Regions from separate parts of the Mus musculus genome. Here regions 2, 3 and 4 are each reported to be linked to region 1. The links are microRNA targets in miRTarBase. Many come from high-throughput screens and were not tested one by one. Region 1 holds a microRNA gene; each other region holds the end of a gene's coding sequence.
The links. Region 1 holds the annotated microRNA mmu-miR-669n (AUUUGUGUGUGGAUGUGUGU, at 3,125-3,144, shown strand). A microRNA usually pairs through its seed, bases 2 to 8, with sites in the 3' UTR of a target mRNA and lowers its output. Matches are read on the target gene's strand: a 7mer-m8 pairs with bases 2 to 8, a 7mer-A1 pairs with bases 2 to 7 and ends in A, and an 8mer does both.

Region 2: miRTarBase lists Mctp2 as a target of mmu-miR-669n. Seed matches in the 3' UTR shown: 7mer-m8 at 2,788-2,794, 7mer-m8 at 3,451-3,457 and 8mer at 3,494-3,501.
Region 3: the mRNA of Man2a2 is a reported target of mmu-miR-669n. Seed matches in the 3' UTR shown: 7mer-m8 at 3,429-3,435.
Region 4: the mRNA of Npr3 is a reported target of mmu-miR-669n. Seed matches in the 3' UTR shown: 7mer-m8 at 3,695-3,701, 7mer-m8 at 4,260-4,266 and 7mer-A1 at 5,623-5,629.

Annotation. Positions count from the first base shown.
Region 1 is chr3:115,976,781-115,983,903 of GRCm38, forward strand. It overlaps Mir669n (microRNA 669n), which reads left to right and starts at 3,122; the gene lies at 3,122-3,175. Slc30a7 (solute carrier family 30 (zinc transporter), member 7) reads right to left here. Exons shown (of 11, transcript NM_023214.7): 7 at 4,982-5,032; 8 at 1,864-1,999.
Region 2 is chr7:72,074,464-72,081,586 of GRCm38, reverse strand. It overlaps Mctp2 (multiple C2 domains, transmembrane 2), which reads left to right. Exons shown (of 23, transcript NM_001024703.1): 23 at 730-3,757. The coding sequence ends at 798. Among named protein-coding and RNA genes, the nearest start is that of Gm36696, 33 kb to the left of the region's middle.
Region 3 is chr7:80,346,044-80,353,166 of GRCm38, forward strand. It overlaps Man2a2 (mannosidase 2, alpha 2), which reads right to left. Exons shown (of 24, transcript NM_172903.4): 22 at 7,119-7,123; 23 at 6,883-6,990; 24 at 3,054-5,808. The coding sequence ends at 5,656. It overlaps Hddc3 (HD domain containing 3), which reads left to right. Exons shown (of 4, transcript NM_026812.2): 4 at 1-54. It also overlaps the pseudogene Gm18310. Among named protein-coding and RNA genes, the nearest start is that of Hddc3, 6.5 kb to the left of the region's middle.
Region 4 is chr15:11,838,754-11,845,876 of GRCm38, reverse strand. Npr3 (natriuretic peptide receptor 3) reads left to right here. Exons shown (of 8, transcript NM_008728.2): 8 at 589-5,981. The coding sequence ends at 700. Among named protein-coding and RNA genes, the nearest start is that of Npr3, 63 kb to the left of the region's middle.

The sequences.
Region 1 (7,123 bases):
TGGCAAGATAAATTCATTGTGTGCGCATGAATTTATCTATTATTTATTTTTTGTTTGTATAAGAAATGAGTAAGAAGATAACAAGGAAAACAATTCAAGTTGGAAATAGAAAATCTATAACTCTTTAGGGTGAAAAAGCCTAAGTTTTTCCACCTCCAATCTGAAGTGTGCCAGTTCCTTTGCTGGGAGGACCCTATGGTCACTTTATCATAGCAGGACACCAATTTGCCCCACAGAGCTCTAGAGAAACATAAGCAGACTCGGGACAGAGGGCTAAATGCTTTGGAAGGGGGCTTTGGTAGAAGGTGCTCCAGGGAAACTCCACACAGTGTGGAGGGCAAATCAGGAAATGTTCCCCGAAGGGGGATACTTCATAGGAAGGATGTGGACTTGGGGTACACACATCTAGAGAGCTGAGGGGAAAGGTGCATCATTAAATGCAGGAAGAGTTGAGAGAGGAGACAAGAACAGGAATGTGGAGGGCTTATTGCCATAGTTAGGAAACTGAAAAGAAAAGACTCACTAGAGAAGACAGAGATTGGAGGTGGGGCAGGAGAGATGGAGGGAGGGGGATTAACAAAATTAAACAATATCAGGAAGTCTCATTAAGGATTATGAATTTTATTCTGAGAGAAAGAGTGAGAAAAGGATAAGATAATTGCAGTATATCACATAATCCGCATCAAAGAAATGTCACTGCAGCATGACAAGAGGGGACAAAGTGGTCATCACACCAAACAATGGCGGTGGTCAGAATTCTGGTAACAATGAGTGGAGAAAGAGCAAGGGAAATACTACGATCATACTCTTAAATAACCATTAGGGGCAACTAACACTATAATATACAACACAACAGAGTGCCCTCGAAACACCCACGGCAAGACAGGTAGTCACAGAAGTGAGCAAGTCTGTCAGGAAGTGGTCACATCCAAGCTAATTCCCGGGAGTGTGGTAAGACCTCCAGATGAGGGAAAGGAATTCTGAGCTCTAGAAAGGCTTCCAAACACCAGCTGGATCCCTGTGCCAATATTTAAAGAATAATCTGCATGTTTAAAATGTATGTCTATTCTTAGGGCAGAAACTGAAAAACAACCACCTCTAACTTTAACACTGCAATCCCATGGCAATCTATTCCATCAATCCTCGTCAACACTGAGTTATGAAGTCTGCGGTCTTACTTCTCACCAGCGTTCATCTCCCTACAAAAGCTGCTGCTGCTGCTGACAGGACAGCTACAGAGAGATGATAATGCTCCAACTGAGACACACTATGCAAAATTTAAAATGATCAAATGCAGCAAGATAAAGGAATATAATTCTAGTGTTTTAAAATAAAAATGAAGCCAACAATAAAGTGTGTTTTAGGACAAAGGATTTTAGAAGATAATATTAACTACACAATGCACTGCAGCAAGTGGTCGTTGCAGATGGACCTCCCTACAGTCTTCATAGACCACCAGCTCCGTGGCTGGTGAGCAAGCGAAAAGACCAATGAAATGGCAGAATTAAAGATGGGTCTGGCAGGGGCAACACTGATACCAGGGTTTGACATTGTCAGTTCTAGATATAAACTAAAATCGTCTAGTTAATGACTTTACATTGCCAAGATTTTATTCTATACATACAGTGTATGGTTTAAGATTTGAATTATGATCAACTACTTAAATGTCAAAAATCAAAAAGAAATGTTAAAACTCCAGGCAAGATATAAATGGGAAAAGCTATAAGGAGAACTTGGATAGGACTTGTTTTAAAGAGCAAAGGGAACCCCACATGATAATCTGCACTGAAGGTGCCCAGCCACTGGTTCTGTTGTCACCTCCCTCTCACTTAGTAACAGATGGTAGCAGTCTGAACCACTTACCTTACAACTATAAGAATGGCTATAAGAATCGAACAGATAGGATCTGCTATCATCAACCCAAAATTTTGCATCATGATGGCAGAGGCAATTACACCAATACTTCCCAGTGTATCGGCTAGAATGTGTAAAAATACACCTAGAAAGAAAGCATAGGAGAGATTAGAATACTCAAGTGGGAATATTTCTCAGGACTATACTTAAAATATCTTACATATCAAGGAAAAAAAATCAGTCAGGAGAAGTACAGTAGTAACTGTGTAGCAGAATATTTATAAACTGACATAACTGTTTTCATACTGACCAGTTTAAACATCTAACTGGTAAATTATGCTCAATCTTAACAGAACAGTGAAAGTGAAGGAGTTAAAAAAAAAGAAAAAGAAAGTGAAGGAGTAGAGAAAATTAGTTTTAAATGCTGTCTGTGAACATTCACTCTTACTTTAAAAAAGGTTAAATAATTTGTTCTGGAAAGAAAAGAGCATCAGGTTTTAAAAAAAAAAGATGAAGAAAGCAATTTAATTTTGAATACATGAACACATAGAGCCCTCTGCTGGTGATTTAAAATACTGCTTAAGGAATAAAATTTTATATGAACCCTAACTCGACTTAACCTGACATTAATTATCCAAAACATGCCACTACCTAAATTTGTTATTATCCTCAAATACACCAAGCAAAAAAGCAGTTACCTGACTAGGACAAGAAAATACATGTTGAACCTTTGAAATTAAGTACTAAGTAGGACATAGTAGACTATTAAGGACTATATAGGACTATTAAGATTCATAAGTGATATTGGCCTGGAAAACCATAAAAATCTCAAGAAAGAAATTATATATGCAACTCTTTTTGAAACTACCTAAGACAGTAACTCACTCAATATGTAGATCTTTAATAAATAAAATTTATCACACAGCAAAGCAATCTATAAACATAGGTACCAATAAAAACAAAAACAAAGAAAAGCCATAAACCACCGGCCTTCAGCACAGCTGCCCTGCAGGGCACTGGTTAAGATGGCAGACATGCGACCAGCTTAGAAATTCACGTCACATTCCCTGAACGATCAAAGGTAAATGTGTGCCAATTAAAACTGAAGGAAACTTTGTAGCAGCTTAAAATTTGAGCACTACTGAGTCACAGTAAATCTTAACGTTTGCTGGGAAAAGACACTTCCCCTGCCACCGTGTGACTTAGAGCAGGGCGCAGCAAAGGGCACTCGGGCCTTTCACTCTGTGCAGACCACTCTGCAGATCTTTACATTTGTGTGTGGATGTGTGTGTAAATGTATGTGCATCCCACAGCACATGTGCAGAGGGCATTGGCTTACTCCTTCTACCACGTGGAGCCTGAAGACTGAACCCAGGCTGTCAGGTTTGGCTGCATGTGTCCTTATACAGGTACCTCACCAGCCCTGAGTTGTTCTGTAACAAATGGTATTCATTTGGGCAGATAAAAATGAAATGTGTATTTCCACTGGTAAATACTTGTAAATAACCAACTTCTCTATTGTACTTTAAATACCAAAGAATAATATATATATATACATATATATGTATCAAAAACACTTTGGTTTCAAAAACTAAAAAAAAATGAAAAAGATGGATATAAATCAATACAATTGAAATCCCTACATTACAAACTCCTAAATGTAATAACATAGTTTTAAGTTTCTATATTCTCCAATTAGTGTTTTGGTACGAACAGAAATAAAAATGAAAAAAAAATGGTGAAAATAATCTGTTATTCATTTTTCTGATGCTGGAAAGTCCCTGCCTCCATGTAATCCTAACCAGAAAGTGGGTCTCATTAGCACACATCATTACTCTTTTATAGTAACTATTCATGAAGAAAAATCTCTGAGGAAATACATAAAGTCTGTTTAAGTCACATAAGATCGAGACCCTCCAACATTGCAACACACCAATGGTCTAACGTATCTAAAACCTGGCTCACTAAGCTGAAGATGCGCCAACAACTGAAAGCCACATTAGCTGGAGGGGCTCATGTGCTGAGTGTCCGAAGAGCTCTTGGGTAGCAGAGCTTTTACATCAGGCAGTCACAGCTGCCCAGCAGCTTCCTCCAGGCCCTCTTGAGACCAACAAACTCATGTAGTTCAGAAATAGGAATAAAAGGGTACATCGAGCTTTTCTTCCTGCCATTTATGATGATTTTTCATAACTAAATACAAATTATTATCAAAGCCAATGATAGCACTTCATACGGCTATGTCAAAAATGTACAAAGACGCTTTTAAAAGCAATGCCATATATTTTGAAAATGGAAACCTGGTGACAGAAGGCAGCCTAAGCCTTCAGTATAGTGATCTCTTCAGTAATGGAGAAACACAAGAAGCAAGAACTCAACCCAGAAGCAGTAGAACAAAACACATGCAGGAGAGGCTAGATCTGGAGCCACTGAGAAAACCAGACCAACGTCGGCTTTAAAAAGCTAGGAGCAGGGAGGTTAGAACTTAAAAGCTTTGACAATACAGTCTAGGGGAAACTGTGAAAGACTGGGTTATAACCCAGAGGAAAGTACCAGAGTTCAGAGACAGAGTTTTCTCTAGCTGCTGTCACTTACGGAACACTAAGCTCCTGTTTAGGTATCAGTAATTGATGCTTTCACAGATGAGAAAGGTCTCACTGGACTTCATTCTTAGCTCTACAATTTAAGAACATATTGAACGTTACTCTTGGAAAAACTGTCATAATCTAAGGAAGCAGACAGGCTACCCTGAACTCACGACTGTAATAATCCAGGGAAGCAGACAGGCTACCCTGAACTCATGACTGTAATAATCCAGGGAAGCGAACACGCTACCTTGGACTCACGATAGTCAGGCCAGTACTTACCTTCAGCCGGGGTTGTCAATTTCTTGTATTTTTAAAATTAAATCTGAGAAAATAGACAAGTGGCAAAATATCGCTAATATACCTAACACAAAGTATAAGTGTGCATGTGTGAGTGAGTGTATGTGCGCGCACGCATTTATTAGGAAGGATAACACTTACAATACTGTTACCATCTACAGATATTTCCTTAAAAGAGAACTCCAGGCAACTTTACCATGAAGCCAGCTTCATGAAATTAAGAAAGCCACAACTGCTTGTCATACCTTGTAAAATCTGTCTGCTGGGTCCTGCCGTTGCTTTGAAGGATGGGCCATCTGTAGAGAATTAGTTAGATTATTTTAAAACATCTCTTCAATTCCTGATCCAAATGTTTGCAACTCAGAGTTCTTTTTGCTCAACTGTATGATGGAACTATGAGCACACAGTCATATTAGACTTACACAATTATTTTTTTAAATTTAATCAAGTAATTAAATATAGGTGAACTTAGTGAGGGCAATATTGAAATGTAACAAGGATATAGAATATTCTAGAAATTATTGTACTAGAAATAAAACTCACAAGAAGTTAAAAATGTGAAAAATCTACCAATATTGTACTAACGAAATACCTCCTAGTACTTTCATAACTGGAAACCTCACAGAGAATGAAATTACTACGTGGACTTTGATGAGGTCTGTGAACGGAAGCCGGGACTGACAGCAGGTTGCTGTGGAACTACAGCTTTTAGAGACTACTTTCTACAGAGAAGACAGCCACTTCACTAAAATCCTGCCTTTTATGATGAAGGGACATCCTTAGTTTTGTGGGACAAGGACAGTAAGAGGTGTAAAGGGGAGTCGGCCTGAGCCTAGGGGACAAACAAGCTGTGTGCTGTAGATGAGAAAGCTGGAGACCTGAGGCTATCGGAGCTCAGATCACACGTCTCAGATAGCAGGCATTAGCTACGAGATTTGGAATTGTAGTGTAGACTTGGGTTTCCTTCTCACGTTGTTTCTGGTCAGTGTTTTTATCACAACAGAGAGCAAACTAGGACAATGTTCAATGGAATTGTGTACAAGTTTCACCCTAAAATACTATTTATAAGGAACCACTAAGAAACACATCACTAAGGAGGCAGAGACCAAACTGTATCCACCTGAAGTTATGTAATGAGTTCCAGGCCAGACAGGAGCACACACTGAGATCCTGTCTCAAAGGGCCAAATCAAGTACATGAATTAATTATTTAATTAATTAAAATATTATGTGCCAGAATCATACTCTTTGCTATTTGTAATAATACTTCAGAAATTATTTTATAAATTTATGAGAGATAAGCAATATTTCAAAATTATTTTAGCATAATGTATGTGTGCAAAAATGTTGAAAAAAACCCAACAAGGTCTTTATACCTGCCAGTGTAACTGTTTCAAAACATAGCATATCAGGTTAAAAGAGGTCGTACAAACTGACTGATAGGGATACTACAGCAAATTAGAAAGCCTCTGCACAGCCAGGGAAGAACAAAAAGAAACAGTAATCTTAGGCGTGTAGAGCATACCTAAATACCGTATGTCTGAGTGTTAATACCTAAAATATATGAAGGACTCAAACAATGCAAAGGAAAATTTTTGTCAGACTGAAAAATGCTCTGTGGTTATACTAAAAGGTATTTAATACTAGTACTAAACAGGGAAATCAAATCAAAATTTCAAGGGAAGTTTTAGGAAGACTCGGAGCTATTTTTATTTATATATATATATATATATATATATATATATATATATATATATATATATATATATATATAGTACTGGCAAGCATGTGGGGAACAGGAAATCCTTATACACTATTGGTAGGAATGCAAACTGGCATAAGCACTACAAGAGCAGCCTACGGTTCCTCAACAAGGACCACAGAGCTATCACATGAGCACCAGCATCAGCTCTGGGTACACAGCCAAAGGAGCTGAGACCCAGATCCCAGCATCCAGGTGCACTTCCACTCACTGCAGCATAACACGCCGTACTCAAGACACGGAAGCAACCTACGAGTGCCTGATGGATGAACGAGGCCGCTCTCTCTTAAAGAAGGGCAGCTTAGGACACCATGGGTAAATTTGGAAGGCGTGTGAAATGATACAACAGAATAAAGACCAGACACCACTCACATGAGGAAGCTAACAGAGTCAAGCACATATAAACAGAGAGGAGGTTGGCACTCTGCAGGTGCTGGAGGTTGGAGAAGTAACTGTCACAGGACATGGTTCAGTTACACTATGCATGAGGCCTAGAGAGCTGTACAACACTGGAGCGATCACAGCTAACACGACTACACTTCAGGGTGTCAGGAGGGTAGGTTGTACGCTGTGCTCTAATCTAAATGAATGAACACATAATAAAGAGGTGGGAGGAAACATCTGTC
Region 2 (7,123 bases), not on the chromosome of region 1:
GGTTCTGGTACCAGCCTTGGAATGTATCATCCAGGTATATTTGGCATAATCGCAGAGAGATACATATGACAAAACATTTGAATGAGTTTCATCCATGCTTTAGCACTAGTCTCCCTATCCCGTCAAGGGTGCTTTCTAATGACACTGACAGTTTGCCTCTGAGGACATCACAAGTACTCCTGTTTATCACAGATGTTCTCGTTATTACACTATAAGTTAAATTAATTTTAAGTGACATCTATATAAGTTTGGGGCCTAGAATCAATTTCAATATTTGGCCCCCTCTTAGAATAAATGTCTGTAAGATAACTGAGTTTCCCCCTTATCATTGTAGGTCCTTTGAAATGAGCAATACTTGTTTGTTTGTTCTGTCATAACATAAGATCAACAAGTCCAATAGGCAGTTACTGGGTTATTTACAGCTGAAAGCTGGTATAAGCAAGACTAAGATCAGGCAGCAGTGGCAAGCTCTGGAGAAGCCTATAGAAGCCCATTCATCTCATTAGAAAAATCTGCTTTTAATATTTTTGGTTTCAAGAAATGATGCATGACTTCTGAAACCCTTCCTGCAATTAATCCCTCCCCCCCCAGGCCCCATGTTTAGAAAATGATTCATTACCTTTGAACCTTCCTTCCTTTGCTTTGCTGTATCCTTGGGGAGCCATTAACACACTCTGTGGTAAGCTAGGGTTACCCAACTGCCAGCATCATGTCTGTTTGTTTTCACAGGTGCAGTATGCAGAGCTGAAGCTCTGTGGCAGCCACAGCCCACTTCGGAAGAAGAGGAGTACTGTCTAGAGTTCACACAGACTGAGGCCTCCAGCATCCAGTGTGCAGCCAATCAGACCTAGATCCTGGCTGCTCTAGTGGTACCAAGGTGTCCTGAGATATGGATGTTGTGTGCAACCTTCTACTCCCTCTCTGCTTTCTTTACATACCCAGATGCAAGCACACCTGCACACAGGTCCCTGTGCACGGGTATCCTGGATTCCTGGACAACCAAACCATCAAAAGACATCAAGTCTGAGACTGTGGGAGCTTCATATCCATTTTTAGGACATAAAACAAGGTGTCCACATGTCTGAACACCATCCTCGAGGACAGCCAGAAGACCACTTGATTCCAGGATGATGCGGAACTTATTTCAATACCTTCGACAGATTTTCCACTAAGAATCAGTTCTTTCCAGTTGAGGCTGGTGGTTCACACATATAATCCTAACAGGGAAGAGGCCAAGGCAGGACAGTTCAAGCTCAAGGCCAGCTCAGAAACTGTGCTATGTTGGCCTCTAAACATATAGTACAAACTGTCCTAAAACCAACAATCAACAGAGGTTCAGTTATTTCCAGTCTCCATCCCCCTATGTGTTTAATGTTCCTTTTTCCCTCTATCTGCCCTGATAATGTATATTAGAAAATGTTTAGTGATTTTTCAGAATTAACTCAAATATTTAGGAGTCTTTCAGCTCTGATTACTAAAGACATGCCTGTTTATTTATTTTGTTTTTTGGTGACCCTTTAGTATTAGATGCCAGTTCAAATCAAATCTCAGTTGTTGTTGGCAAGGGCCATCCTTGACGGTTCCAAGGAGTCACTCATTAGAATCACCCATTGGAAGAATAAGGGTTTTTGTGATAGTATTATGTTTCTGGAATATGCCATTTCTTCCAACTTCACTTTTTGCTTATTACTACAATGAGATGTTGATATGCATCCTCAGAGCGATGGTGGAGATTGGGGCAGATGAATTAGTGGGTTCTGAAAGCATTTAGGGATATCAAGATATGTGGGGGGGGGCTTACTTAACTGAGACTCTGAATGGAATATACTCATTTCAGTTGCCCGATGTTCTGATCAGATATTTAAAATGTTTTTGCTATCCTAATTTGCCTTTTATTTTTCTAAGGGACAAAATAAGATATAAGACAATAGAAGCTTATTTCAAAATTCCTGTTGATACCAAACAACTACAAAAAAGTCCTCTGTAGATAGTGTTTGAATCCTGAGTACCCTACAACTCCACAGCACACCCTGCCAAGTTTAAAACAATGAATTATGTGCACGTAAAAAAGTGTACAAATATCTTTGTATTAAAATGATATTTAAGCTTTAAAAATCTATATTTCATCAGCATACTTGCTGTGTGCAGGTTTGTGTATGTATTGTAAAGAAAAGCTGAGGTAGGAAACCTAGTTTACTGTGTTTAGCTCCTGTTCTGTTTCTGCATTGTAATTTAATAATCAAACAAAATGTTTTATGAAAAAAAATGCCAAAGATTCTGAACTTTGTCATCTCATGTCTGTTTTACTTCATATTCTTCTTCCTGATTTCTCTGTGGCATAGCCCGATTTCTGCACGATTTGATTTACTTCAAGTTAATGAAGCTGGCTGGAAAGGAGCCTTGACGAGATTCTAAAAGCCCCAGTAAATCTGTTAGTTGTACATACAATAGATACCCGAGAACCTCTTTGTCTAACCAGTTACTCAATCTTCTGTGTAAACAATACCTCATTGTCTTGTTCCTGTCATCCAGTTTATCATAGTCTGTCATTTAGTAATGACCCAAGGCAGACATCTATAAGCCGTCATGTGAGATATGATCAGCCATTGGAATGGAAACTTTTGGGAGCCAAATAACCCCTTATTTATTTAAATGTGGGACCCATCCTTCATGGCTGTTCTTTTCCTTTAGAATTTCTAAATGAAATAATTTTCCCAACAGGAAGGTATCATTAGTGAGACTTCTTTCCTCCATAGCCCCAATAGAACTCACAGCATTACATTCAGGACACAAATGCCAGCTGGTATTTGAGAGCAAGACAGGGCCAACTTTTTCAACACTCTTTAACTGAAGACAATTGGTAGTTGATGAAATCAACATTGCATATAAGAAAATGAGTATTTGTTGGAAGTGAAATGCTAAGATTTGTACTGTCATTATAGTTGCACAGGTCTCATCCTTACATGCCTTGTCTTAGCCCAGGATCTCAGAGAGTGACAAATAGTATAATCTAATACCTTATTCCACCTTAAAGAAGCACCTGTCATGGTGCTGTGGGCAGAACTTCTCTCCTTGTATGCATGGGGCCAGAACTAGCATGAATTTCTTTTTCCTTCTTCCACTGTTTGATATATGAAAGGAAGATTTGTTCTAACCCACAATTTTAGCAACTTCTGCAAGACTTTTCTCTTTCTGAGAATTATCACAATTTACAGTTATAGAAAGCAGTCCTTTGGCATGTCCAGATATGCCAGCATGACAATTTGTATGCTTTGAAAAAAGTATTGAGTAAAATGCATGTTACTAAAACACCACAGCCATAAATGTGATAGCTGGTGGCCACTCTAAAGGAAAAAAGAGCCAAATGAAGGCAAAATTGTCACACCTCTACAGTCCAGCCTCTACAAACGAGTGTTTGGGGCCTGGTTCCCTAGTGACCCAAGATTCCTTACACAAACATCTGGAGCGTAACCCCTAATAATTTACACACTTTACACAAAAGGCCAGTCTTTAAAACATGACTTGTGTTATATGTTAAAACTTTCTCTTTAGCAAGGTACCAAGAAATTCACCTGTTCCTTCAGATATGGGCCAACCCAGAAGTCCCACAATGAAAGGACCAAGTAATTTCTCCTTTGCCTGCAATAGAATAACTTCCACCTGCTTTTGTGACTGGCATGATTTACTCTGTATAGAAACTCACTCACTGTTTTATTGGAGTGTATTTCAATAAATTATATATTTATGTCTTGGTCAATTATTTTATCAGTACATAACTGTCTTTCCTATATTGGTTTACATTGGCAGTTATGACTAACAGGTAGGTAGTATATGCAATGTGGATACTTTGAACGTTGTCTCACATCCAAGACAAGTTTGGCTACAAGAAGCACAATGCAGATCCATTATTCAGAGCATGTAATATCCACTTAATGATTTCGTTGAAATTAGTAGATTACATATTCATACTGTTCAATTTGAAGATAATTGGGAATGTTAAAAATGCCTTGTGAAGTGTTCACAGTTCCCTTCTTAGTCCCACACTCATGTTTATAACACTGCCAAAGGCTTGTCTTAAAGACTTGTCTCCTGAACTGGGGCCAGTGTCCTCTTGGATGTCTTTGGTTTTAGTTTTTGTGCTTTTCCCTATGTAATCTAGTCAATCAGGGAAGGACGTAGTATTGCTTGTATCCTGGTAGCCGTGCTGCATAATATTCCATATGTCATGGGCATGATGGGAATCTCACTGAGCTGGGTTCAGTTCATATTATCCCTTCCATTTGAAATGTCTTTCCCCAAACGTCAAAGTAGATGATACTCTTCAAACCATTCCAGGTTCTCCTGCTCTGATGAGGTCACCAATGACTTTGTGCTATCTGAGTTTCCACCTCCTGCTGCAGCATCAGTGAATTGGCAAGTGTTACCTCTTGTCTCTCATTGAACCACAACTGTCATCATGCAGTTGTTTCATTCTAACTACCGTCCAAGTCCCCTACCTTCAAACAGTGTGTCGTAGCCAATGATTTAAGATCAAAGTTTGAGGAAATGAATTCTAGCAGATACCCCAAAACATCTTATTTACATCAACTGTAGGTCAGGGCTCCCAGAGGCCTTGACCCTACTGTTCTCTACTAGACCTACCAGCCTAAAAGCCACTCAGAAATGCGTGCCGAACAGCACGATCATGGACCATTTGTTCCTGAGCCTTTTTATATGTTGCTTTTTTTTTAAAAAAAATAACAACCCAGAAAGATCAACAGTGTTCATCCTGAACAATAATTACTTGCATGAGGTAAAGCGCTTATTTTGTGTGATATATATGATTTCTGGATATGTCAATGACCAACTATTCAATTGTGCAATGTCTTATATTTGGAGAAATTCTTACACGGCAATAGAAAATACAGTATTTATGAACTGTAAAAGTGACATTTTGATTCTTGTTTCTTGTAATTTCCCAGTTAACACACTGAACACAGATTGATACATACAAGCAAAACAGACAAAATTCCCCTGGTGGAGCCAGATAGTAAATGGACACTTTTTAAGCAGCTAGCACACTCAGATTCAAGTTTCATAAAACTCCCAATCTAGTTGCAGTGTGTGGCTTAGCAACTAGGTTGTGCAGAGAATTCTTCTAAGTCAGTTATAGTGTTCCTGATAAAAGCAAATGGTGTCCTGGACTTTGATATTGCTGCATAGTGATAGAAAGTATAAAAGTCTAATTGGGAGATTATAAGAAATGAGAAATTGGCATGTTCTTGACTGGGGAGACAGCAGGGTTAAAGATGACTATTTGATTCAAGCAAACAAATGTTAATAATTTACAGGCTTCCTTCAAGTCTAGAGAGAGAACGTGGAATGGACACAAAAGCTGACAAAAAGAGAAGTCAAACCCGGACAGCTGATACACACAGAGAGAGTAAATACTATGTCAGATGCTACGTCATTTAACTGCATAATGGCCATTTATGTAAAATGGTTCTGAGCTATTTTTATGTTAATTTGGATAAAATATTGACCCCCCTTATCTCATAGACAAATATCAGTTTAGCAAAAATAAAATTTCCAAATATTTTTAAACATAATTTAAGAAATTTTTTTTTAAAAATTGAGAGCTTATCTCTACTACAGTCTATGGGGAAAAAAAAGTAGAGAATCACGATGTAAGAAGAAAGTGTACAGGGTTGTGGAGAAATGGCGTGAGTCAGTGTTGAAGGTGAGACTGAAGCGCCACCAATGGGACTAACAAGGAGGTAACACAATATGAATAACGTTCTCAGAGTAGAAACACTCCATACCCAGGAGGAGCATACTTCAGGACTAATGCTCAAACTGAGTAAAGGCTTGCTGGGTTTTTTTTTTTTAATGTATCTTGATGACAGCATTCAGACATATAATCATAAGGTATAAATAGCGGGCTGTGTGAATAGCTTATTCGGCAAAGTGCCTGCTGTGTCAGCATGAGGGTCATAATTTGGATTCTTGCCTCCCACATAAAAATAGAGTATGGTGACCCATATATGTAAACTCAAGGCTAGGAGATAGAGACAGGAGAAAACTTGGAATTCAGGGGATAGCCAGTCCTAGAAACACAAATGAATTAACACCAGATAGATTCATTGCCTTGATTCCAAGTGTAAAGGTGACTAGGGAGAGTGAGCTAGCTCAGCATAGAAAAGTGTGTGTTGACAAGCCTGGTGACCCGAATTCAACTCTAGAACACACCATGTGGGAGGAAATATCCAACTTCCACAAGTTATTCTCATCCCTCCACATTTGTAGTGTGTCACACCTGGGCCTACCAAGCCACACATAAAATAAATGAAATGCAGCTAAACTGTAATAAAGGCCAAAATTAGAGAGTTCCCGGGGTTGACCTCCAAACAGAAACAGAGAGAGAAAGAGAGAGAGAGAGAGGGGGGGGAGGGAGGGAGGGAGAGAGAGAGAGAAGAGATATGTTATCAAACAGAACACAGGTATGTCCAGTGAAGTCACATCAGTAGACAAGACAGAATAATATCTATAGGATGACATGGACCTTGGAGGGGGATCCTGGTATTCTATGGGGTGAATACAAATCTGGTTTGAACTGAGGAGCAGATGCAGCACAATTGGACATCTCAGTGGAGGAAACTGAGAGAGAAAGGGGGAAGTGATTAGAATCAAGGATGATTCTAATGAGGAAAAAAAATGTCCTAAATTCAATATCCAGCTCTCTGCAGGAACCACAAAAACATTCATACGTTTAGCAGTATTAGCCATGCTAAGTATCTGAAAGGATCTCTGGTCCTGCTTGCCCATCCCACTTACCTGCACACTTTTGGAAACAGAGCAGCTGAAAATCCCTCCTGAAAGCATGTCAGGCAGCTGATGGATGAACCAAGAAATGTTGGCATTCTAAAGCAATCATTTAAAAGGGGCTTATTTTGCATGGTGTTTGCTACATTCCCCTACATGGAACGTTGGTTAATCTAGGACATAAAATGGTAACATTTTAAGGAACATATCAGATGCGAGTGAAGTGCTTTAATAATAATAGACATAATAAAATCCTTTGGATTTCTCTCTAAAAGTTAAGATGGAAAAACACCAATCTTGTACAAGGTTGCCTAGATTATAC
Region 3 (7,123 bases), not on the chromosome of region 1:
TTGGAATAAGCGTCCGTGGTTTAGTCGTGGAAAATAAAGCACTTAGGTAAAGGCTTAAATTGCTGTTCTTCCTTCTCTGGTCTCCCGAAGAGGACCCACATGCTAAATAGTCATTTCCCATGTCCTTTGGGTTAAAAGCATCAACCCTTGGAGCCTGGCGTCCTTATCAAGTGGGCTGGACTATGTCCTTACGAAGGTCAGATGATGCAGTTGTGGGATGGCAGATATACTGGGAAGGAATGCCACCACTTTCTGGCAACTGACTGGCAAAGACAGAAATCCCAGTAACATGAGGAAGCCTGGAAGACCTTAGTGCTCCAACACCAACTGCAGTGATTGCTCAATGATTCATAGCCGATCCCTGGACCCTTAAAAATTGCTGGCTAAGTCACAAGAGCTTCCGGGTATCCGGAAGAGCGGAAGTCCTACAGTGTGGGTGTGGCAGAGAATTTTCGGGGAGTTGGATTTCGCCCTCTATCATGTAGGTCTGAGATATCCAACTCAAGTTTGTCAGGCTTGGCGGGCTGGTGCCTTTACCCACTCTGCCGTCTCACCTCACCTTCAGAGCCCCTTTTTTTGGTCTGTTTTTGTTTGCTGGAGGGGCATAGGGCCCCCACAGCCATTCTACAATACTCCTGCCTCTGCAATAAAGCACAACCATACCAAGGCTCTCCAGAAGGCTTCTTAAATCTCATTGGCTATACAAAAATCTAGTTTTTACACTGAAGCTAATGTTAAGCTGCACTTGAATTTCCCATTCCTAGAAAAACACCTGAACACATGCACACACTATACACACACACACACACCACACGACAGGGCAGCCATCCTCCACCCTCTTCTGGCTCATTATTTTTTATGCCTGTTGGTCTCTCAAGGCTGGTCCTTCCTGCTTCATTTTTGCCCTTGGCATGGTGTACAGCAATCTTTTCACGCTTTTTGAGTCTAGCTGCTTTCTGCTCACGTGGTTATCTTTGGCTGTTTCGACATCCTCACCCTGCCCCCACCCTGCAGTGTCTCTAATAGACATGCCTGGGTCAGTTTTGGCCTTTGAGTGATATTCAGAGCAAACAGGCAGGAGACAGATGGGGTCTTTAGGAGTTTTAGGGTTTTCGGCTTTCCTCCATAGCCCTTTTGGGAGGGACATAATTCATCTCCAGGGCACAGTGAGCCTCATTGCTTTGGACCATACCTTCAGACGTCAACTTTTCCTTTATGGACATGGTCCTCCATCTTTTGCAACATATTTCTGAGAACTGGAGTCAGGGTGTTTCTTCTCATGCTGATCTACAGAGCAAGTCTGCATGAAGAAGATGCGTAAGAACTTTGCCCCGTGTCTGGTTGGGTCAGACTCAGGTGGACAGAACCACCTCTGCCTGAAGCAAACTTCCCTGAGTTAGGCAGAGAGCCTTCCTTCCCTAGGGTGAAGTAAATGGTTTCCTCTTTCCTTGTTTTATAATGGTTTCCCCCTCCCCCACTAGAGAGAAGCCTGCAAGGCCCAGTCACCTCCCACAGGTTCCCCTGATTTCATTGCACTACAGAGGGACACACATACTCAAACTAAAGCATTCAATGTTCACATAGACACTCCCGGGTTTCATTCTCTAAGGGACTGTCTCACTGGCTACCATCTCTCATCTTCAACTGTATCACAGTTAAGAAGCCCTTCTTGGGGCTGGAGAGATGACTCAGCCGTTAGAGGCTAGGCTCACAACCAAAAATATAAGGAGCCTGTGAGCAGACTATCCTAATTAATCAGGGCAGTACAAAGACCCAGCTGCTCCCGGCAACTGTTTGAACTTTCTTCCCATTGGACCTAAACAAAACTAGTTCCATCCTAATGTCGGAAGATCCCGTCTCTGTCATCTCTCACAGTGTGAGACTTGAACTTTCCGTACATTTTTGTTAAGAACAAATTCAGAGACCTCTAGTTGAACTGTAAGCCTCACCCCTCCACTACATAGTTTATGTTTTCCTCTTTGTGTTTGTGACAGCTAGTGGCTTTTTGCTTGTTTGAGATGGAGTCTCAGTGTTGCTTGAGCTGGCTCTAAACTCCTGGGCTCAACAGACTCCTCCCCTGTCTCCAGAGTAGCTGGACTGGAAGTGTCTGGCTCCCTAACCACCATGACAGCAAGCTAAACTCTTCCAGCTCGGGTTAGAAATGCTGTCTGCCCAGGAATTCCTACTCCTCTTCATGCCCTGGGGAAGGTAGATCCGGACCCTGTCTGGGCCTGACGCCCTGCAAGATGGTGAAGTTCCTCACATTTGCCCGCCTTTCTCTCTGTGCCTCCAGCTGGCCACTCAATCCTCTCCTCCTTATGGAACTGGATGCGTCTCAGTGAGGGAGTCCTTCTCTTTCTGGTGAATGAGGTTGTTTTGTTGTATCTTGGTTCCACTGTAGACTGTTAGCCTTACTGGGGAGGCATCCATCCCTGAGCTCTGTGGACAACAGCTGCTGCTTACCTTAAAACAGTACGCACTCACTGTGCCATTACCAAGAACCGTATGAGCCAGGCACGGAGGCATGCACTTGTAATCCCAGCACTTGAGGGGCTAAGGCAGGAAATGCAGTAAAAATTGGAGGCTAGCTTGTGCTACCTGCCTGGGGGAAAGGGAGGGGAGGGGAGGGGAGGGGAGAAGGAAATGCTTTGGCTTTGGCCCTTATTCTCCCAAGGATTAGTTCAGAGGCTTTACCAAGAGTTGGCTTTTTTCCTTGATCCAGTTACATGTGGCCCTCTGCCACACATCACCTTAGCACCCAGACTGAAGAAACAGGCCTGCCTATCTTTCCAGAGGCAACTCTGCTGACGAACTTTTGAAAGGACACTGCTCTAAGTACTATTTATGTATGTAAACAGCAGCAGGGAGGGCATGGTGTGCATGCCTGTGAGCCTAGCCTGTGGGCAGCAGAGGCAGGAAGATTACAAGTTTAAGGCCAGCCTGGCTCTCTATGGCAAGTCTGGGTTAGTCAGGGATACATTGCAAGACACTCCCAAGTGTGTGTTTGTGATTAAAATTTGTCCTGTCAGACAAGTAACTTCACTGCACATCTCTGACCTCCAAAGAATATTCTTTATTCTGCACAGTTCCCTATCATTTGATTACAAACCATATGGTAGCAAATAAGTCTTGCTGTAGGCGCAACCCCTGCTCTGTGCTAAGCGCTCCCCACTCTTCATCTCATTCCTGTCACCAAGACATGAATAGGAAGCCGTGTGGCCTGAGCCTGGCAACATAAACCATGGAGACCCTGCAAGAACTCAGCCTTGTCACTACTGAGTCTTTGGGTGCTGCTGGACAGACCCTAGTGACGTTCTCTGAGAAGTCAAAACACACTTTTCTCCAGCAGTGACAGAACTCACTGCAGACTCGTTTCCACCCACACAGCTGTATTGATTTAACCTGTTTCCTATAGCATGCTTTCAAGCTTTGTGTGTGTGTGTGTGTGTGTGTGTGTGTGTGTGTGTGTGTGTGTGTGTGTGTGTGTGTCAAAACCTATTTTTTAATGTTCCCCCATTATATATTAGGTTTCATGTTATGTCTAGAAAAGGGTTTCCTAAATCAGGTATAAAAATATTTTTTTCTGCTGGGCAGTGGTGGTGCACGCCTTTAATCCCAGCACTAGGAAGGCAGAGGCAGGTGGATTTCTGAGTTCAAGGCCAGCCTGGTCTACAGAGTGAGTTCCAGGACAGCCAGAGCTACACAGAGAAACCCTGTCTCAAAAAAACAAAAAAATTTTTTTCCTCCCAGGTGTGATGATGGCGCATGCCTTTAGTCCCAGAACTCAGGAGGCAGAGGCAGGTGGGGAATCTCTGTGATTTCCAGGCCAGCTTGGTTTACATAATGAGTTCCAGCACAGCCAGAGGTACATAGTGAGACTAAAATAATAATTAATAATAATAATAATAATAACAATTTTGTTGTTTGCTTTTGCTTTTTTCCCTCTAGCCCTAGGTTGTTTTGTTTTGTTTTTGAAACAGAAGTCTCATAGGTAGGTAGCTGTCTCAAAGCACTATGAAAATATCCACCTCCCCTCCCCTGCACCTGAAATCATATACTGAATTTCTACGTGCCTAGGTCTGTCTGACCTGACCTATCATGGCAGCTGAATTCACGCTGGCAGAAGAGTCCAAGTCGTTTGAGAACTCTGTTAAGACAGCTACTGCCTGTTGCCCGCCTTAGTGTCAGCAGCCGTTCATCACCTCGGCCATTCAGAACTACTTCACATCCTCAGCCTGTCACCTTCCAGATGAATGCCAGGACCTGAAGAGTTCCAGAAAGTGTCCAACCTCGTGGGAATTACACTGATGTTTATGGGTTGATTTGGGGAGAACCAGTCGTTACAGGGCAACTCACAGAATGCCTTGCTAGTTGACACACAGGTTTCTTAGGTAGCTTATGGTTTTAAAACAGTGGCAATTGTAATTCTTGTTTCCATCTGAAGTGTGGGTTAGTGACACCAACACACTGTGCCGCCGGGCAGTTTCTGACTGAGGGGATCAGAGCCTGCTCTGTCCGATGCTTTGGGCGCCTTCGCTTACTGGTGACGAGATCTTTATCCAGATTACGGGCTTCTTTCTAGTCTTGGCTTACTAAGTTTTCGTAAGGATGGAACTTTGCTTTTACCAACTCTTATCATTTATAGACAGATTCTCTATTGATTGAAGCAAAAACGAAGGTTCATCCAAGCACATGACCTCCTAATTTTGTCTCTGCCTTCCTCGTCCACACAGCGGGCAGGTAATACTTCTGCAGGTGGGATACGAGTGAACCTCCTCAGCCCACCAGGGGCCCCAGCACAGGATGCCTTCCCAAGACACCCAAGCACAGCCCTCTTGGAAACTCTGTTTCCATTTTAGAGAAAGGAATCCTGCCAGGATCCCCACAATGGGAACTCGTGGGGAGCCTGGTGTGTGAGATAAGAAAGCAGATCAGGGGGAGACACTCCCTACCCCTGTCACAGATCAACACCAAATGATCAGCTGAGAACTAGTGCTAGTGCCTGAAGTGTTCCGTGGCCTCTGGCCTGGAGTCTGAAGCAAGCCCTTCCTGCACCCAGCAGCCCCTAGCCAGGGCATGCAGGCCCAGTGGCACTCAGAGCAGGCCCAGTGGCACTCAGAACAGAGCCAGAGCAGAAAGCAGCAAAGCCTTTAGGCTCTTAGGAGAACCAGGGACTCCTTCCACGCCTTTACTCCACTAATAATGGGCGCCTACCCCTCTCCTCCCAGAATCACCCTGCTCCTGTACCCTCATACCAGCACTGTGGGGTCCATATGACCCCGCAGAGCAAGCTCATACCTGCAGTCTCCTAGCGTGAGGTTGTCCCCCAGCCTCCCTGACCTCTTCTGCTTGTCCCCACTCTTCCTACATCCCATTTTGGGAAAAGGATGAAGCCTGAGTTGTGCCCAGCTGGGTACCTACTCACAGCCTAGGGCAAGGGCCTCCTCTCCCCTGTCTCTCTGCCCCCGCCGCCTGCTGATGTAAGGACTGTTCCAAACGCAGGAGCAGCAATAGACAACGGAAGGGCACAGCACAGTCTGTCACTTCTGAGGCAGAGCGGAGGGGAGACTTGGTGTGGCTTGTCCAGCTTAGTCTTGGTGTTAGGAGGCAGTCTCTGTGGATGAACCCTGTCTTCAGGCCACAAGAAGCCCTGGCCTAGCCCAAGCGCAGGCGGAAGGTGCTGATCTCCATGGGCTCCAGAGAGATGTCAGTGCTGTTGGAAGGTGAGGCCAGAGGGTATAGCAAAGTCAAGGAGGTTGGCTGCAGGAAGGTCACATCCAGGCCATGGAAGAGGCTCCCCAGGGCTAGCTGTGAAGAGAAAGGGGGCAGGGTGAGCCGGGCGCTGCTAACAGTGGGTAAGTTCTTCCTTACACGGAGTGCTGCCCTTTTGGGTTTTTTCCTTTTTTTTTCTTTTCTTTTCTTTTTCTTTTTTTTTTTTTTTTTTTTTTTTTTTTTGAGACAGGGTTTCTCTGTATAGCCCTGGCTGTCCTGGAACTCACTTTGTAGACCAGGCTGGCCTCGAACTCAGAAATGCACCTGCCTCTGCCTCCCAAGTGCTGGGATTAAAGGTGTGCGCCACCTTGCCCAGCCCTTTTGGGATTTTTTGAGACAGGGTCTCACACTGTAATCCAGGCTAGCCTCAGACTCAGAGCAGTCCTGCCACAGTGCTGGGACTGTGTTGTGAGCCAACACACCTGGATTTCTGTCAGATTCTTAGAGCTAAAATGGTGTAACAGGACTCTAGCTCTTGGGAGGTAGAGGCAGGCAGTTCAGGGGTTCAACTCAGCTTCGACTACACAGTAAGGTTGTATCGAGCCTAGGTTATGTGTGACCTTGTCTCAAAAATAAAGAATAAAAATAAGATAGAGAAATAAATAAATAAATAAAGTAAGAGGGAAACGGGCTGCTGGAAGCCACAGCCCTCCCAGGAGCAGCGAGCCTCAGAGAGGGCACTGCTGCAATCCACTCAAGTCCAAAGCTTGCCCAGGCTCCTCGTAGGAACTCTCACACCACGCTGTGTGAGCTGAGAACAGGGGCTGTTTGGGTTCACGGCTGAGTCACCAGGGCAAGCAACGTGCCAGTTTACACCATGAGCGATGCTCTGAAAAGGTGCAGTGGTTTTTCATTCTCAGGTTTCCCACTTCACTCTGAAAAGGTCTGTCCTCAGGAAACCCGAGGTTTCTAGCCCCATGCTGGTCTGAAATGGCTCCTGCCGACTCCATTACCAAAAGCACAGGCCAAAGGCCTCCCCTTAGTCTCCAGAGAGCCCCGAGGCTACTCCTCCTTTCTTCCTACTGACTGCCAGCCTTCCTCTAGGCTCTCAGCCTAGAGCTCTGCTGTCCTGACCAGGGCCCGTGCCTCCCACACCGGGACCCCACTCACCTTGCCTTGGCTTGTGGTACAGTTGAAGCCCAGGTTCTTGGCTTCAAGGCCACAGTCAAACCCCTTGCGGTGTAAGATGAGCGCAGAGTCAGTTGCGGGCAAGGTGTCCTGGAAGACAGTCAGGGGCAAGGGCAGTGGCGGGTTAGCAGCACATCTGCCAAGAAGGCTGGACAGAGGAGAGCTGGGAGGAGGGCCAGAGCCTGGAGGTGAGGGTTAGCACTGACTGGGACACTCACCTCGG
Region 4 (7,123 bases), not on the chromosome of region 1:
TGTTTGGAGAAGTCACATGTTTAGCTGCCATTGTTGTGGCTTAAATCTCATAAACTTTTAATTATGCGCATGTGTTCAAGGTTCTAGTCGTTTGCTGCAGCGACAGTGGCCCGTCCTTTGGTAATCTTCAGTGGTTGAATTCATGGGGCATTGTAAATCATCATGGTTTATTTGTAATATTTCTTCACTTTTGCATTGGAGATGTAAGTCTGGGTGTATGTGGCTCTTTGTGGGAACAATCGTGTTCCTGTTCCTTTGGTCACAGTACATTTGGTCTGATCTTTATCTGGGGGCACATCCTGGGAGTCAAGCAGAGCTTCTGGGGCAGAATAGATAAGACTCCCAGGGAAGAAGGGGAAGGCTTGTTCTGTGGCATTTCAGAAAGCATGCCAATTTTTCTCCCTGAATAAGGACACGATGCCTTGGGGGTACACGACTTTAATCTCAGAACAGGGTTTCATATTTGTGTCACTTGTCATTTATCAAACCTAACCCAGATGTCCCTGGAGGGCACTCTTTGTAAGAGGAACCATGGTGTTTTACAGCCGAGTGAGGTTTTATTATTACATTTGTTTTGCTTTTACCCAGGAAGAAATACAGAATAACCATTGAGAGGCGAAATCAGCAAGAGGAAAGCAACATCGGGAAGCATCGAGAGCTGCGAGAAGATTCCATCAGATCACATTTTTCGGTGGCTTAAAAGAGATGCCCCTCTCGCTTCGTCTACTTGAGATTCCTTAAAGAGATAGATGGAAGGACAGACATCAACGGAGCAGAAAGGGCGTTCTCGGAGAAGTCATTCTTTTAAGCAGTAGTCATTTCATTTTACATTTTCTTTAGAAGCTCAGGAATGATTGTTAATCACTATCTGCCTTCTGGCCTCTCATCTCATGGCAAACTAATATAATGAAACAACGCAATGCTGTTAAGTGTTCTGGCTGCTGGAGGGGCATCAGAGGAGATTTATGTCTTGAAAGTCTGCTGCGTCCATATCTTGATTGCTTTGGGGGCAGTTCACACGAGGATAGAAAAATGTGGCTTTTCTGAAATGAAATGTTTCGTAGCTAGGATAAAACAATTTTTACAAGGAGAATATTCTTGGAAAGAATTTAACACCCAATAAGAGGACAATGGAATGAAAGAAATCTCCAGGCTGGGAATGCAGTGCCCCTCTCTCTGGAACTGGGGGACAGGTTTGTGGTTGATGAAGGCTGCGTCCAACGTCCACATTCAGGTCTGAATTCATATCTCAAGAAAGGATCCTCCCTGTCTCTTTTAGTGTCTCATCAGAGCTACTCTGGAAAACTGTAAATATTAGTGAGCAAGGAGGATTTATATAAGAAAATTGAGTCTAAAATGCTTCTTATACGATGTAAAAAAAGTCCTACTTCACACTAACATTTTATTTTTAAGTATTTTAATCTTATATTTTGGTATTAGAAATGTGTCTATTTTTTCATTTTGAAGATTAAATTTCACTTATATTTTAAGAGCACGGAGGAGGTGTGTGACAAATCTGTGGAGAGGGAGGAACGGTTCTCGTTTTCTCTGCTGTCCTCTGTCCCTTGGCTGTCTCTAGTCTAACTGCTAGTCTGGCTGAAGATGTACAGAAGTCTGTTCAGCTTACAAACTCTGAAGGAATACGTTGATGTTAAGCCGTTGTTCATTTTCAACTGTTTTAAATGGATGTTATTGGAGGGCTACATTCTTTCTAACTATGGTCAAATGATGCCCTTCAAAACCAGTAGACTTAAGTGGAGTCTATAAAGAAACACAACCCCTTTCCCTCAAGAATAAGCAGACAGTGAGAATTTGACAGCAAGACACAGTGGTGATACGTTTAAAAAAAAACTGCATGCAATTTATCAAAATTTGAGGTGATGATTTTAATTTAAAAAGGGAATGTTGATATCTGCTGTGTCCCTTTAACCTTATAGAGTTTTGCAGCCACCACAAATGATGCATAGCTTGGACAGTGAGCTAGGACAGACAAGGGCATCGTGGCTAAGACTGAGCCAGCCTTTGCTGGGTATCCTCTTTGCACTCAATCCTGGGTGCAGAGGTTTCAATTCTGGTTCCGACTTTATCATTTGAGGAGAGAACAAGGGTACCGTCTTGTAATTTTGCCTTTCTTGGTAACATTCTGAGCATCTGAAACCCAGCTTAAAGGGGGGAAATTAAATAATTTCTTGGAGGTCCTATCCATCCAGGTTAACTGTGGAGGAGTCCAAGCAAGCTTAGCAAGCTCTGGAAGCTGGCTTCCCAGGGAAGGAGTGGACCACACCTCATTCTCTCAGTGGAGTCAAAGTGAATGGGCTGCACCTGTGTGGGGCTCAGGAAACGGGATGCAAACCGCATGATAAAATGAATTAGCTTCTGAACAACTGAAGGGGGTGTGGTAGGAGGTATGTCGTGGTTCTGCCTGTGGGATATTGAGGGAAAAGTGCTGACTTAAAAAAAAAAAGTAGGCCAGAAAGGCAAACTTTAAAATGCTAATCCAGGAGGCGCGTTTGTGGAGCACAACTCAGGAAGGCTGCAGCTGATGGTCAGGGACTCACATAATGAAGACAGATGGGCAGACTGCATCCACCCCAGTTCTCAGAACCAGAGGGCTGCTTGTTTCTCTCTTACATTTTCAATGATGTTTTCCCTGTGTTTCAGAGATACTCATTTTTTAATGTTTTTTTTTTTTGAACCTGTGTGTTAATTGCAGGAGGGTGACAGTGGGAAAAGTTCTCTACCTGGCTATATTCTTTGGGTATGAATATGTCTAATCCTTTCTTGAATTTGTATAGTTTCCCCTTGAATGTCAGCATAGTTACAACAGTATTTTTTATTTCTGCTCCAGCTAGAGGAATTGTTCCAAGGTTAATAGTGGATCCCCAGATTAGATGTTAAAGAATAGATTAGATGTTTAAAAAATAAATAGGCAGGGTGAATCGTGAAGTCCCTGGAGTCATTTCCTACAATTTTAAAGCAATTCTTATTATATTATTATATTATTATTAATATTATTAAGGTTGATTGCTCATTTACATGCCTGCTGTATAGTTTGTCTTTCTTGAATGTCTTTACATGGCTAGACAAGGTGGCCCATGTCTTCAATTCCAGCACTTGGGAGGCAGAAGCAGGAGGATATCAGTGAGTTTAGGGCCAGGATGGTCTCCATAGTGAGTTTCAGATCAGCTGTAGTTACACAGTTAGACCTTGTCTCAGAAAAAAATAAATCATTATATGAGTAGCCAAAATGTCATTAAGTTTTAAAAACACCACCAAGTTGGGAAACCTTTGCTGACAGTATAGATGTCTGTTCCATGGTGGCTCTGGGTTAAAAACTCTTGGTATTGTATTGTAGAACTTAAATTCTTAACTGCTAAGCAACAACTTTGACAATTAGTCATTCATAATCTGCCAGTAGTCATCTATTATATAATTAACAAAATGGAACTTTAGTTCTTAAGCCATTCTATAAATTTTTACTCTTAAGTCCAATGATCAAGGTTTCAAAGGGGGGGCATTTCATTAGTGTTTTTTATATCTTGTCAAATATAAGTTCATACACAAGCTAAACTAAGCGTATACTTATGGTGATGGAAATAAACACAAGTTTTATAGCCAATATTATTGTCTTAGATCTGGGAGAGAAGCTGAACTCAGAAACAAAACTTTCTGGGTAGAGTCATATCTGTTCCCAACACAAACAGAGGTTTCACACGGAATCCGTCAACATGTATTGTTTTGAAGAGCCATTGGCGTGTCTTTTCCTGAACCACAGACAGAATTCCACATGTCTTGAAATAGTTGTTTACATTTCAGAATTCATGGAGGAGAGGGAGAATCCTATGGAATGAGAACAGATGCCCCACCCCCACTTCCTTTTTCTCTTGAATGAAAAGCTTTGGAATGCCAAGTCACTTCCCCTTGCTTACAGGCATCCTGTGCCTTTGCTCCTGGCACATCTACCTTCTGTGTCCCTAACTTACCTCTTTTCTTCTAGTTGGGACTGATTGTCAGGGTCTAAGACATGCAGTGGGACGTGGAAAGGGAGGCCTTGTGTATCTCAGAGAGTGGTTTCAGAAGCTGTTTCTAGTGATGCCATTGCTTTCTTGAAACAGAGCTACTCGTGCAGGTGTTTTAGATGCGTCACAAGTGCGCGCGCGCACACACACACACACACACACACACACACACACACGAAAAAAGAGAATGAAAGAATAGCATTTATAAATTGGAAAACACTAGGGTCTGTGTTTGTTGAGACACAAAGAGCTCAGATCCCTAATAGGTGCAACTACAAAGGCAAATGCCAATTGAACTTTGGCCCACTACCTATTTGTGTAGTTATACCCTACAGGTCTTTAGAAGAAGGCTGGTAATGAGCTGAATTTTTCCTTTAGTGGAAAAAACAGAAACTGTCTAGAAATACAGGATGCTTTAGGGGCAGCATAGAAGTAGGGAGAACGAGCCAGAGGCACTGGAGGGATCTGTCTATTTTTCAGTTGGTCTTTAGAACAGAATAATGAACAGTTTAGACCTTCTTCAAAAGCCAGTCTCCACAAGAAGTGCTGGACATGCCCAGAGAGAAGAACCAGGAGCTTATGTCTCTCAAAGTGACAGAGAGAAGAAGTTTGCAGCTGACACGGGCTCAACTGTTCTTCATAGAGCTCCACCTGCTATCCATCACATTTCTATGGGTGTGCTAGCACCTTTCCCATGCAGGTGGAAACTTGTGAGGAGGCCTCCTCATTTACTCAGAGAAAAAAGACAAAATCGCACCGCTGTGAGGAGGTAGCTGGCTTCTACTCAGAAGCCTGACAGCAACTTGACCATGCATGTCCTTGGACAGTTTACATCTGTGATTTTCATGTACGCGAAGGAACCTGGCTTTTTTCTCAGCATATGGATTTTTCCGATGTTTCCTGCAGGCCTATGGAATGAAAATACTCCTCCAAAGGACACTGAGTTGGAGGTTGTTCAAATATCGCATTAACCACTAATGTTAATTCATCCCAAATGCAGAGCATTTCCCAAATGCTGATGCTGGTGTTTCTGTTTTAAGTCACTTCAAAGGTAATCAAAAGGATTTCAGTGGGAGCTGACTCTCAGAGGTAAAAATAAATATGTTACAAAAACTCTTTGGTCTATCAGGTATCATACGATTCCTAGTGGAGAGATTTGAACCAAGTAGACCTCAGAGTTAATAAAACATGTTCCATTTCTTTGATTCATATTTAAAGGCATAAATTTATATGCACAGGACCAGGAGGTCCATTTCCCCAAGTGTGAATCATAATAGGATACCGAGTTCATTTTTACTTTCTAGAATAAAGCTGTCATAGTCTCTACTTATTATTGGGGAGAGAAAGAGTTATTTCTCCAGAGAAAGAGGAAACCATGGCTTTTGATGGACTATCTCATTCATTACTCAGTGCCTGTGTCTGAACGTGTTCAATATGGTGTAGCATAGAAGACAGCAAGGAAGTGCTCTCAATTGGCCAAAATCGGAGCCTTCTTCCCTGGGCATTGCTGAAACCAAGGGGCTGTGAGCTAAGCATGGCAGAAGGCCAGTCCCTCAGCCTGTGTCTTTTGAGCCATTTTGTTCATGGATAATTTAAATATGACCACAAAACAATAAAAACGTACCATGAATCTGGTAGAAGAGTCAAAGCTGCACCAGCTACATATAGCTTCCTATTCTAATGTAAGTAGAACTGTCTGCATATAATGTGATTTAATTTATTGTTGTTCTGTGTAGAAAGTGAGGACTCATGACTGTGGATAAAGCCCTGTTTTGTATAATATATATATATATATATATATATTTTTTTTTTCTGGTGCAAAATTGGTCATTTAAGCAATCTACTTCATTTGGTGTTTGGATAGAAATGTGCGCGTGTTCTTGTAAAGGTTTCTATTCAGCAAGAATACCACATAGCCCAAATATAACAGTATGTTCTCATTAAACGTATACTCTACAGAAACAGTTTCCTGTCTATAATTCAACAAATATGCACTGCATATATCCAAGTTTTCTGAGGATTTTCTGTTCTCTTAGATAAGCTGAAGTAAAAGATCAGTTATTGGGGATGATGTATTTGAATGAAATATTGAGTCCACGAAAGGACTCAAGATTTTCTGCTCCACAAAAGGAAATTTACAGAGATTGTGACATGTCATTGGAATGAGCGCCAAACCCAGAAAATACTGACTTATCAGGTAAAGGAGGCATGGAGAATAACCCCTCTTTTGGAACCTGGGCATCTTTTTCCCCCCATCTATTTATTCACTTTACATCCCTATCACCGCCTCCCACCTGTCTCCCCATCACACAGTCCCTCCCATGATTCCACCTTCCCCTTCTCCTCTGAGAGGGTAGAGCACCCCCTGGGTATACCACCACTTGACATATCAAGTCCCTGCAGGGCTAGGCACATCCTCTTCCACTGGAGCCAGACAAGGCAGCCTAGTTAGGGGAATGAACCTGGGCATCTTGAGATATTACATGCTCCAGCTGATGTCATTGATTCATGTTATTGTGTTCATCACCCACAGTACAGAGAAATTCAGTCCTAATTTGCAAAGAGCTCTCAGGCTTCTGTGTCCTAGGGAGATTGACCAACTTCCAGCATTTCTAGCTTCATCTGGGCTGCAAGAGGCCATCTCAATCTCTGGAAAGTCACATATTCTTATGCCTGAGAAACACATAGTGATTGGCATGGCTGAAGCAGTGTCCCCTTGGTCCTGATGCCATAGTCATGGAGGTCCCTGAGTGAGGCCACAGGTGCTACATGCACTGGGAACATGTTTGAAGTGATGCTGGAGCAGGATGTTGATTGGAGTGAGGCATCATGGGAAGGCGTGGTAGGGATGAGGGGCAAACCTGGAGATGACCTCTAGGAAAAGGTATTCATTCTTGCTACTTTCCCATCCATCTCTAGGGCCATGGATTCCTTGATTCTTTCCCTCTCTCCCTTTAGCTCAGTCCCCTCAAAACACGATATTCAGCCAGCAACTTTTGACAGGCCAAGGATGCCTTACTGGGATAATGGGTCTATGTCTTATCAAGGATCCCCGAGGAGACCCAGATAACACCGATTTAGGGATGTGACCCAACCCCAAACCA